Macaca mulatta: one gene and its partner. The main gene of each other region encodes a partner of the protein of the gene in region 2 in a complex. Links are inferred from orthologs where the notes say so. Each region holds a gene or a part of one and is shown on either strand. Other genes may lie near its edges. The genes, in order: PTN and ITGAM.

The links.
Region 1: the proteins of ITGAM (region 2) and PTN are in contact, whole or in part, in an NMR structure (PDB 8VOH), measured with the Homo sapiens proteins. The link is inferred for Macaca mulatta from reciprocal best matches to the Homo sapiens genes ITGAM and PTN. Residues at the interface, in NP_000623.2 of Homo sapiens: Pro273, Asp276, Arg277, Gly279, Val280, Ile281, Arg282, Tyr283, Lys306, Pro307, Arg309, Asp310, His311, Ala334, Ile335, Glu336, Gly337, Thr338, Gln339; in NP_001308315.1 of Homo sapiens: Val56, Pro57, Thr58, Ser59, Asp61, Cys62, Gly63, Leu64, Thr66, Glu68, Thr79, Lys81, Thr82, Gln83, Arg84.

What each region holds. Positions count from the first base shown.
Region 1 is NC_133408.1:177,081,788-177,085,601, forward strand, and holds part of PTN (pleiotrophin precursor), read right to left. Parts: intron 3,548-3,814; 5' UTR 3,547-3,547; coding exon 3,432-3,546; intron 2,220-3,431; coding exon 2,046-2,219; intron 1-2,045.
Region 2 is NC_133425.1:29,918,654-29,922,962, reverse strand, and holds the start of ITGAM (integrin alpha-M), read right to left. Parts: upstream 2,831-4,309; 5' UTR 2,806-2,830; intron 896-2,805; exon of another isoform or gene 878-895; 5' UTR 806-877; coding exon 778-805; intron 1-777.

The DNA of each region.
Region 1 (3,814 bases), on a different chromosome or scaffold from region 2:
TTTTGTTTGTAACTTTTTTATTGAAATAATTATAGATCCATGTGCAGCTATAAGAAATAATACAGAATGTATGCGTGTGTATTGAGTTCTGTTCAATTCTATCACATGTGTACATGCATGCAATCACCATCAATATACACCATTAATATACATTAATATACACCACTAATATACAGTCCCAACACAACACTGGGTCATTCTTTATAGTCATGGCCTGGCCACCTTCCTCCTTCCCCACTTCCTTAATCCCTGGCAACTCCTAATCTGTTCTCTAGCTCTATCATTTTTCTAACTGAAAAATGTTGCATAAATGGAATTCTACACTATGTAAACTTCTGAGATCGGCTTTCTTTTTTACTTAGCATAATTACCTGAAGATCCACCCAAGTCGGGTGCATCAATAGTCTGTTTCTTCCTATTGCTGAGTAGTACTCTACAGTGCCAATGTACCCTGGTTTGTTTAACCATTTATCAGTTGAAGGACATCCGAGTTGTTTCCAGCTTTGGGTTATTACAAATAAAACTCCTGCATAAATTCATGTATAGGTTTTTGTGGAAACATAAGTTTTCATTTCTCTGGGATAAATGACCAAGAAACTGCTGTGTTACATGGTAAATGCATGCTTCATTTTGTAAAAAACTGCAATACTCTTTTTCCACTGCGGCTTTACCACGTTACAATTTCCACTGGCAACATATAAGGGATCTGGTTTCCCTGCACCCTCACTAGCATTTCGTCTTGTCACTATTTTTTATTCTAGCCACTTTTATAGATGTAGAGTGATCTCTCATTATGGTTTCAATTTCTAGTTCCCTAATAAGGAAAAGATGTTGAATACATTTTCAGGAATTCATTTGTTGCCTATATATCCTCTTTGGTAAAAGGTCTGTTAATGTTTTTTCCCCACTTTCTTACTGAACTGTTAAGTTTTGTTTGTTTTGTTTTGTTGTTTTGTTTTTGTTGCTGTTGTTTTGTTGTTTACTGTTGAATTTGAGAGTTATTTAATATTTTCAATATAAGTCTTTAAGATAGACCGTTTAAACTTTTTGAAAATAGGTTTTTGAGGTGCCCAGATACAGTTTAAGACCAAATGTACCTGTTCTCCATCACGCTTTTATAGAACTTATCTATCTCCATTCAAATAGAAAATACCCCAAAGATTACAGAGGGAGAAAAAGATGTACGTGTATACATCCATTGTTCTTCCTCACTTGTCTATGGGCCACAGTGCATTTCCACAGAACACAGGTAGGACATTTCAGGAATCATGTCCCCAAAGACAAAAAGTCTGGATCGTGGAAGAAAGAGGTTATTTGAGGGTTCAATATTGGATATAAAGTTGAAAGTGTTGACAGATCCTGTCTCAGATAGATAGATCAGGCCAGCATAAGACTGACTCTAGCCAGTGGGAGAAAGATCTATGAAAAGTGACTGTGAGCAGCCCTGCTGGACTCAATAAGTGAATCTGTGAACCTGTGTGGAGGGTGGGGAGGGATCAAATGAGAGAGAAGGCCTGAAAGTGACAGGGAGGGACATGGAGAAGAAGGGGAATAAACAAGAAAAGGGGAAAGGAAAAATCAAAGGAACTTAGAAATAGAAGAAAGGAGAGAGAAGATATATCAACGAACATTATTAGGAGGAATCAAGGATATATTTTATGTCCCTTTGGAAAGGCAGTGGTTCCCAATCAGGGATGATTTTGACCACAAGGAGACATTTGGCCATAGATATTTGGAGACATTTTTAGTTTTCACATCTGGAGTGGGTGAGGAATCCTACTGGAAACTAGTGAGTAGAAGCCGGGGATGCTGCTAAATACCCTAAAATGCACAAGACAACCTCCACAACAAAGAATTGCCTGGCCTGAAATGGGACCAGTGTCAAAGTTGAGAAACACTGGGGTTGGGAAAGATATCTGGTCACTTTGTGTCTGATAAGATAAAGTTATTTAAAATAAAAAGTACTCATCCTTAAAAAGACATTTGGTGGAAAAATTTGAGAATTATCTTAGGGTAGGAGATTAACTCAGTAGCATGAAGCTTACCTCCAAATTGCTTCTTCCAGTTGCAGGGGATCTTACATCTCTGGGTCTTCATGGTTTGCTTGCACTCGGCTCCAGTCCGAGTGCCTTCCCGCGTGCCCAGTCCACAGTCTCCACTGGTGGGCACGCACACACTCCACTGCCATTCTCCACAGTCAGACTTTTTCACTTTTTTTTCTGAATGAAAGGAAGAAAACCTAATCAACATACAGAAAACTCCTTAACTTCCAGATATAACCAAGTTCATTCCTGAGAACCTTAATTGTAGGATCTGTGTGTTTTTTTTAATCTCTATCCTTATTGTCCAGTGAATAATAGAAATATGACGAATATTAACCAAAGTATTGAACCAAAGAATGATCAAGAGAAGAGAGAAAGAAAACTGAGAAAAGAGCTAAAACTAGTATTAATTTAACTCCCTCTTACTATGTGCCAGAGACTTTGCTAAGTGACTTAGTGGCATCTCCTTTTAGAAGCAAATATTTCTATAAAAGAAGAGATGATCAAAAATAGTTAAGCCTAAAAATTGAGAAAATATTCTATTAGAAATGACAGTTGTCAGCCGGGCCCAGTGGCTCATGCCTGTAATCCCAGCACTTTGGGAGGTTAAGGCAGGCAGATCACAAGGTCAAGAGATCGAGACCATCCTGGCTAACATAGTGAAACCCCAACTCTACTAAAAATACAAAAATAAGCTGGGCGTGGTGGTGCATGCCTGTAGCCCCAGCTACTTTGGAAGCTGAGGCAAGAGAATTGCGGGAGATGGAGGATACAGTGAGTTGAGATTGCACCACTGCACTCCAGCCTGGTGGCAGAGCAAGACTCCATCTCAAAAAAAAAAAAAGAAAGAAATAACAGTTGTCAAATGAGCCATTTCAGTGCAAGTTATTGTTCCTTTCTCTGTCTTGTAGAAGGAATGACATCATACATATATGGTGGATCACAGATTTAAACAGACTGTCAGTTCCACAGCCTACTTATGACTTTGAGAGTGGCGTAGAGAAGGTGCTTTAGCTTCTCTGTGCCTCAGTTTCCTCCTCTGTAAATCTGAAATTAAGGAGAAAAACAAGTTGCAGTGCATTTTTTTTTTTTGAGGTAGAGAGGTAACATAATAAAGCACCTGATTGCTGGTCAATGTTCTATACATAGTAGCTGCTAATTTGATCATTATATTAAAGACCATCATCGTCATGCAATCCAGGACTTGCAATGGGAGACAGGATATTTCTTAGGTTCCTCTAAATAATTATTTTTAAAAAGGGAAGATTGAAGGAATACAGGAATAGGAAGGGAGAGAGGCAGAGTAGAAGAGATGAAGGAAAAGCAGGTAATTAGGCTAGATGGACATTAATCAATGAAGCATCTTGCCTTCAGAACCCTACTGCTTACCTGGTTTCTCTTTCTTCCCTGCTTCAGCAGTATCCACAGCTGCCAGTATGAAAATGAATGCCAAGAAGGCAGCTGCAAATTTTTGACGCTGCTGCTGGTACTGTTGAGCCTGCATTCTAGGAATAAACAGAGAAAGAGAAGAAGGTGGCATTAACCTAAGTCAGAGAGGAAGACTCATTGAACCCCTTGATGAAAGGCTCCACTTTCCATTTCTGGAATGTTAGATTTCAGGAAGATTCATATCAATTATCTTGGGTAGAATTTCATCTATTCTCACCAACAGCCATTGAAATAAGTGCTCTTCTGCAATCAATCACGTATTCACTGACAAAATGCAACAGTTCTTCACATAAGACTTCACAACCATTTGCTAAGTATGACTC
Region 2 (4,309 bases):
TCCCTATGATCAAATCGATTGTCAGTGTTCATCTTCAACCTCTGGCTGGCAGGTTGTGCAAAAACAGGTGGTGGGCCATATCGGGCCCCCAGGCCACTGTTCGCTGACTCCTGACCTAAGAACCACCATCATGGGGTACGTCCAGTCCCGCTCTGAATTCCAGCCTCCCTTCTGAGCACCCAAATGGTCTCTTCCCCCAGTGTCACCACAATGATGATTTGCCCAACAGTGAAGTTTCTATGCATTCTCAATTAGATAATTTCCTTCCTATGCAGCTCTCAAGCATTTCCTTCCCTTTTGTGGAGAATTTCATTTTCCACAACATACAAGCATAAAAGGAAACAAACTCAAATCGTTTTGATTCATCAGTCATTCAACAAACATTTGCACCCGGGTCCTTGGAAAACGGAACCGGAGGCAAAGTGGAGATGGTGAGAGGGGATCCAGGAGGAAGTACTCAGGAAGGGGGTCTCACACTTGCTGTGCACCCTGGGCCATGTCACTTCTCCTCTCTGGGCCTCCGTCTCCTCATCTGTGAAGCAAGGACCAACCAAGCAGCCTTGCACAGTCCATGAATGTGGTCATTCATCCAGGCTTCCCTGGCCAGCCTGTCTGGGTCTAGCTGTTCTCCCTGCTTCTTCTTGAACCCTTTCTCCTTCCCCAATCCCCTTTGCCTCTCCCCAGACTGAATCCTACATACTCTGGGCCCTCTCTTTATGACAGACCCAAAAGTTCCCCTCCTCCTCACCCAGAGTCCCCCACCCCACCCCCATGCACCTGTTAACAGAAGGACTCTGAGAGCCATGGCTGGAAGGAGCCAGAACCTGGAAGGAGGTGAACCGGGGGTTGCAGGCGCCACTGAGGAACCCCAAGGAAGCTGCCAAAGCAAGGAAGGGCAGAAAAGGAGAAGTAGGAGGCAGAAGTCTATCAGAGATTCAAAGGAAGAGGGCGGAGGCTCAGTGACCACACAGCCCTGCCTGGTCTTCCTCCCAATCCTCCCAGCACTGCCCACAGCCTGACCAGCCTTCCTCCCCAGCTTCCTGGCTCAAACCATCAAAGTCACTACCACTATCCAAAAGGTGCCATTTGTCACATACTCGTTTCTTGGGTTGGCCAAAGCATATGAACAAGCTGAACAGACTTAGCCTGCCTCCTGGAATTCATGTTCTAAACATTAATACGGGCCAGGCGCAGTGGCTCATGCCTGTTAATGCCAGCACTTTGGGAGGCCAAGGCAAGAGGATTGCTTGAGCCTGGGAGTTTGAAACCAGCCTGGGCAACACAGAGAGACCCTGTCTCTACAAAAAAATATTTTTAATTAGCTGGGCACAGTGGTGCGCACCTGTATCCTCTGCTACTCGAGAGGCTGAGGCGGGAGAATTACTTGAGCCTGAGGTCCAGGCTGCAGTGAGCTATGATCACACCACTGCACTCCAGCCTGGGCAACAGAGCGAGACCCCGTCTCTACCAAAAAAATACATTTAAAAAATTAGCCAGGCATGGTGGCACATGCCTGTAGTCCTAGCTACTCAGGAGGCTCAGGCAGGAGGATTGTTTGAGCCCAGGAGTTTGAGACCGCAGTGAGCCCCAATAATGCCACTGCATTCCAGCCCAGGTGGCACAGTGAGACCCTGTCTCAAAATAAATAAATAAATAAGCAAACATTAATACCGATCAAACAAGTGTAGGAGGTCAAACTCTGTGTCTTCCTGGAAACACACTTTGCAAAATGTCTCTCGTTCAGCCCATGGAAACGGGAGCGCCCTTCAGCCAGAGCAGTCCTCATTTGTAGCCATACAAGGACAACTCAAGTACAGGCACACCTTGTGCTTTTTAAGTATTATTTTGTGCTTTTTTCAGAGACAGAGTGTAGCTCTGCTGCCCAGGCTGGAGTGCAGTGGTATAATCACAGCTCACTGCAGCTTCAATTAACCTCCTGGGCTCAAGTGATCCTCCTACCTCAGCCTTCTGAGTAGCTGGAACTACAGGTACATGCCATGGCCAGCTAATTTTTTTTTTTAATTTTTTGTAGAGACAAGATCTTGCTATGTTGTTCAGGCTGTTCTCAACCTCCTGGACTCAAGTGATTCTCCTTCCTCAGCCTCTCAAAGTGCTGAGATTACAGGTGTGAGCCACTGCATCCAGCTTATTTTGTGTGTGTGTGTGTGTTTTGTTTTTGTTTTTTTTTAAAGGCCTCAAGCTCTTCACCCAAGAATTTTCACTACTAGTAATTTATCCTAAGAAATAGTTAAGAAGTATAGTCAAAAGTATATGTACAAGCTTGGCTGGGCTCGGTGGCTCATGCCTGTAATCCTAGCATTTTGGGAGGCCAAGGCGGGTGGATTACTTGAGGTCAGCAATTGAAACCAGCCTGCCCAACGTGGTGAAACCTCATCTCTACTAAAAAGGACAAAAGAATTAGCCAGGCATGGTGGCAGGCACGTACAATCCCACCTGGGAGGCTGAGGCAGGAGAATCGCTTGAACCCTGGAGGTAGAGGTTGCAGTAAGCAGAGATTGTGCCACTGCACTCCAGCCTAGGTGACAGAGCAAGACTCTATCTCCAAAAAAGAAAAAAAAAAAGAAATATATATATATATATGCAAGCTTGTTCATTGCGGCATTATTGTTAATAGTGAAAGGCTAAAAAAAAAAAGACCTGAATATTCAACAACAGAGGAATGGTTCAATGATACTTCACTCTGTCATCTATCCTTACCCTCCCCTGTGTCTGTCACTTTTAATTCTGTTTTCGAAGGCACAAGAAAATAGGTATCCTTCCACACACACGGAACACAAACCTCACCTTTATGTGACCGCCAATGTGAATCTCAAGCCAACGATTTTTTTCACTCTTTCTCAACACCTTTTTTTTTTTTTTTTTGAGACAGAGTCTTCCTCTGTCACCCAGGCTGGAGTGCAGTGGTGTGATCTCGGCTCACTGCAACCTCTGCCTCCCGGGTTCAAGTGATTCTCCTGCCTCAGCCTCCCGAGTAGCTGGGATTACAGGCGTGTGCCACCACGCCCAGCTAATTTTTTGTATTTTCAGTAGAGACAGGGTTTCACCATTCAACACATTTTCTTTTGCCTCTAATTCTACTTTCCTGATAACTAGATGGAAAAAAATGCTTGCTGGCTGGGGAAAAAAAAAAAAGCAATTAAAATTATGTACATTTGGTTTAAAATTATCTGTTTATAATTTTTATATCTAGCCAGGTATGATAACTCCTGCTTGTAAGCTCAGCACTTTGGGAGGCCAAGGCAGGAGGATCATTTGAGCTCAGGAAGTCAAGACCAGCCTGGGCAACACAGCAAGACCCTGACTTTACAAAAAAATTTTAAAAATTAGCTGGGCGAGGCCAGGCGCGGTGGCTCAAGCCTATAATCCCAGCACTTTGGGAGGCCGAGACGGGCGGATCACGAGGTCAGGAGATTGAGACCATCCTGGCTAACACGATGAAACCCCGTCTCTACTAAAAACAAAAATAAAAAAACTAGCCGGGCGAGGTGGCAGGCGCCTATAGTTCCAGCTACTCGGGAGGCTGAGGCAGGAGAATGGCTTAAACCCGGGAGGCGGAGCTTGCAGTGAGCTGAGATCCGGCCACTGTACTCCAGCCTGGGTGGCAGAGCGAGACTCCGTCTCAAAAAAAAATTAGCTGGGCGTAATGGTGCAACCTGTGGTCCCAGCTAATGTGGTCAAGAGGCTGAGGTGGGAGGATCGCTTGAGCCAAGGAGGTCAAGGCTGCAGTGAGCTATGATTGCACCACTGCACTCCAGCCTGGAAAACAGAACCAGACCGTGTCTCTAAATATATATAGGCAGGGCGTGGTGGCTCACGCCTGTAATACCAGCACTTTGGGAGGCCGAGGTGGGAGGATCACCGGAGGTCAGGAGTTCAAGACCAGCCTGCCCAACATGGTGAAACCCCATCTCTACTAAAAATACAAAAATTAGCCAGGTGTGGTGGCGGGCACCCGTAATCCTAGTTACTTGGGAGGCTGAGGCAGGAGAATCTCTTGAACCTGGGAGGCGGAGGTTGCAGTGAGCTGAGATTACACCATTGCACTCCAGCCTGGGCAATACAGCTTGACTCAATTTCAAAAAATAAAAAATTAAAATTAAATAAATAAGTACATACATACAAAAATAAATCATATATATATGCAGGAGAACCAAATGTTAATAGTCGTTATCTCCAAGATGGAAGGATTACAGGTATGTTCCAGTATCTATTGCTGCAGAGTGAGTTACTCCAAAACTTAGTAGTTAAAAACAGCAGGGTATTATAATCTCTCGCATATCTGTGAATC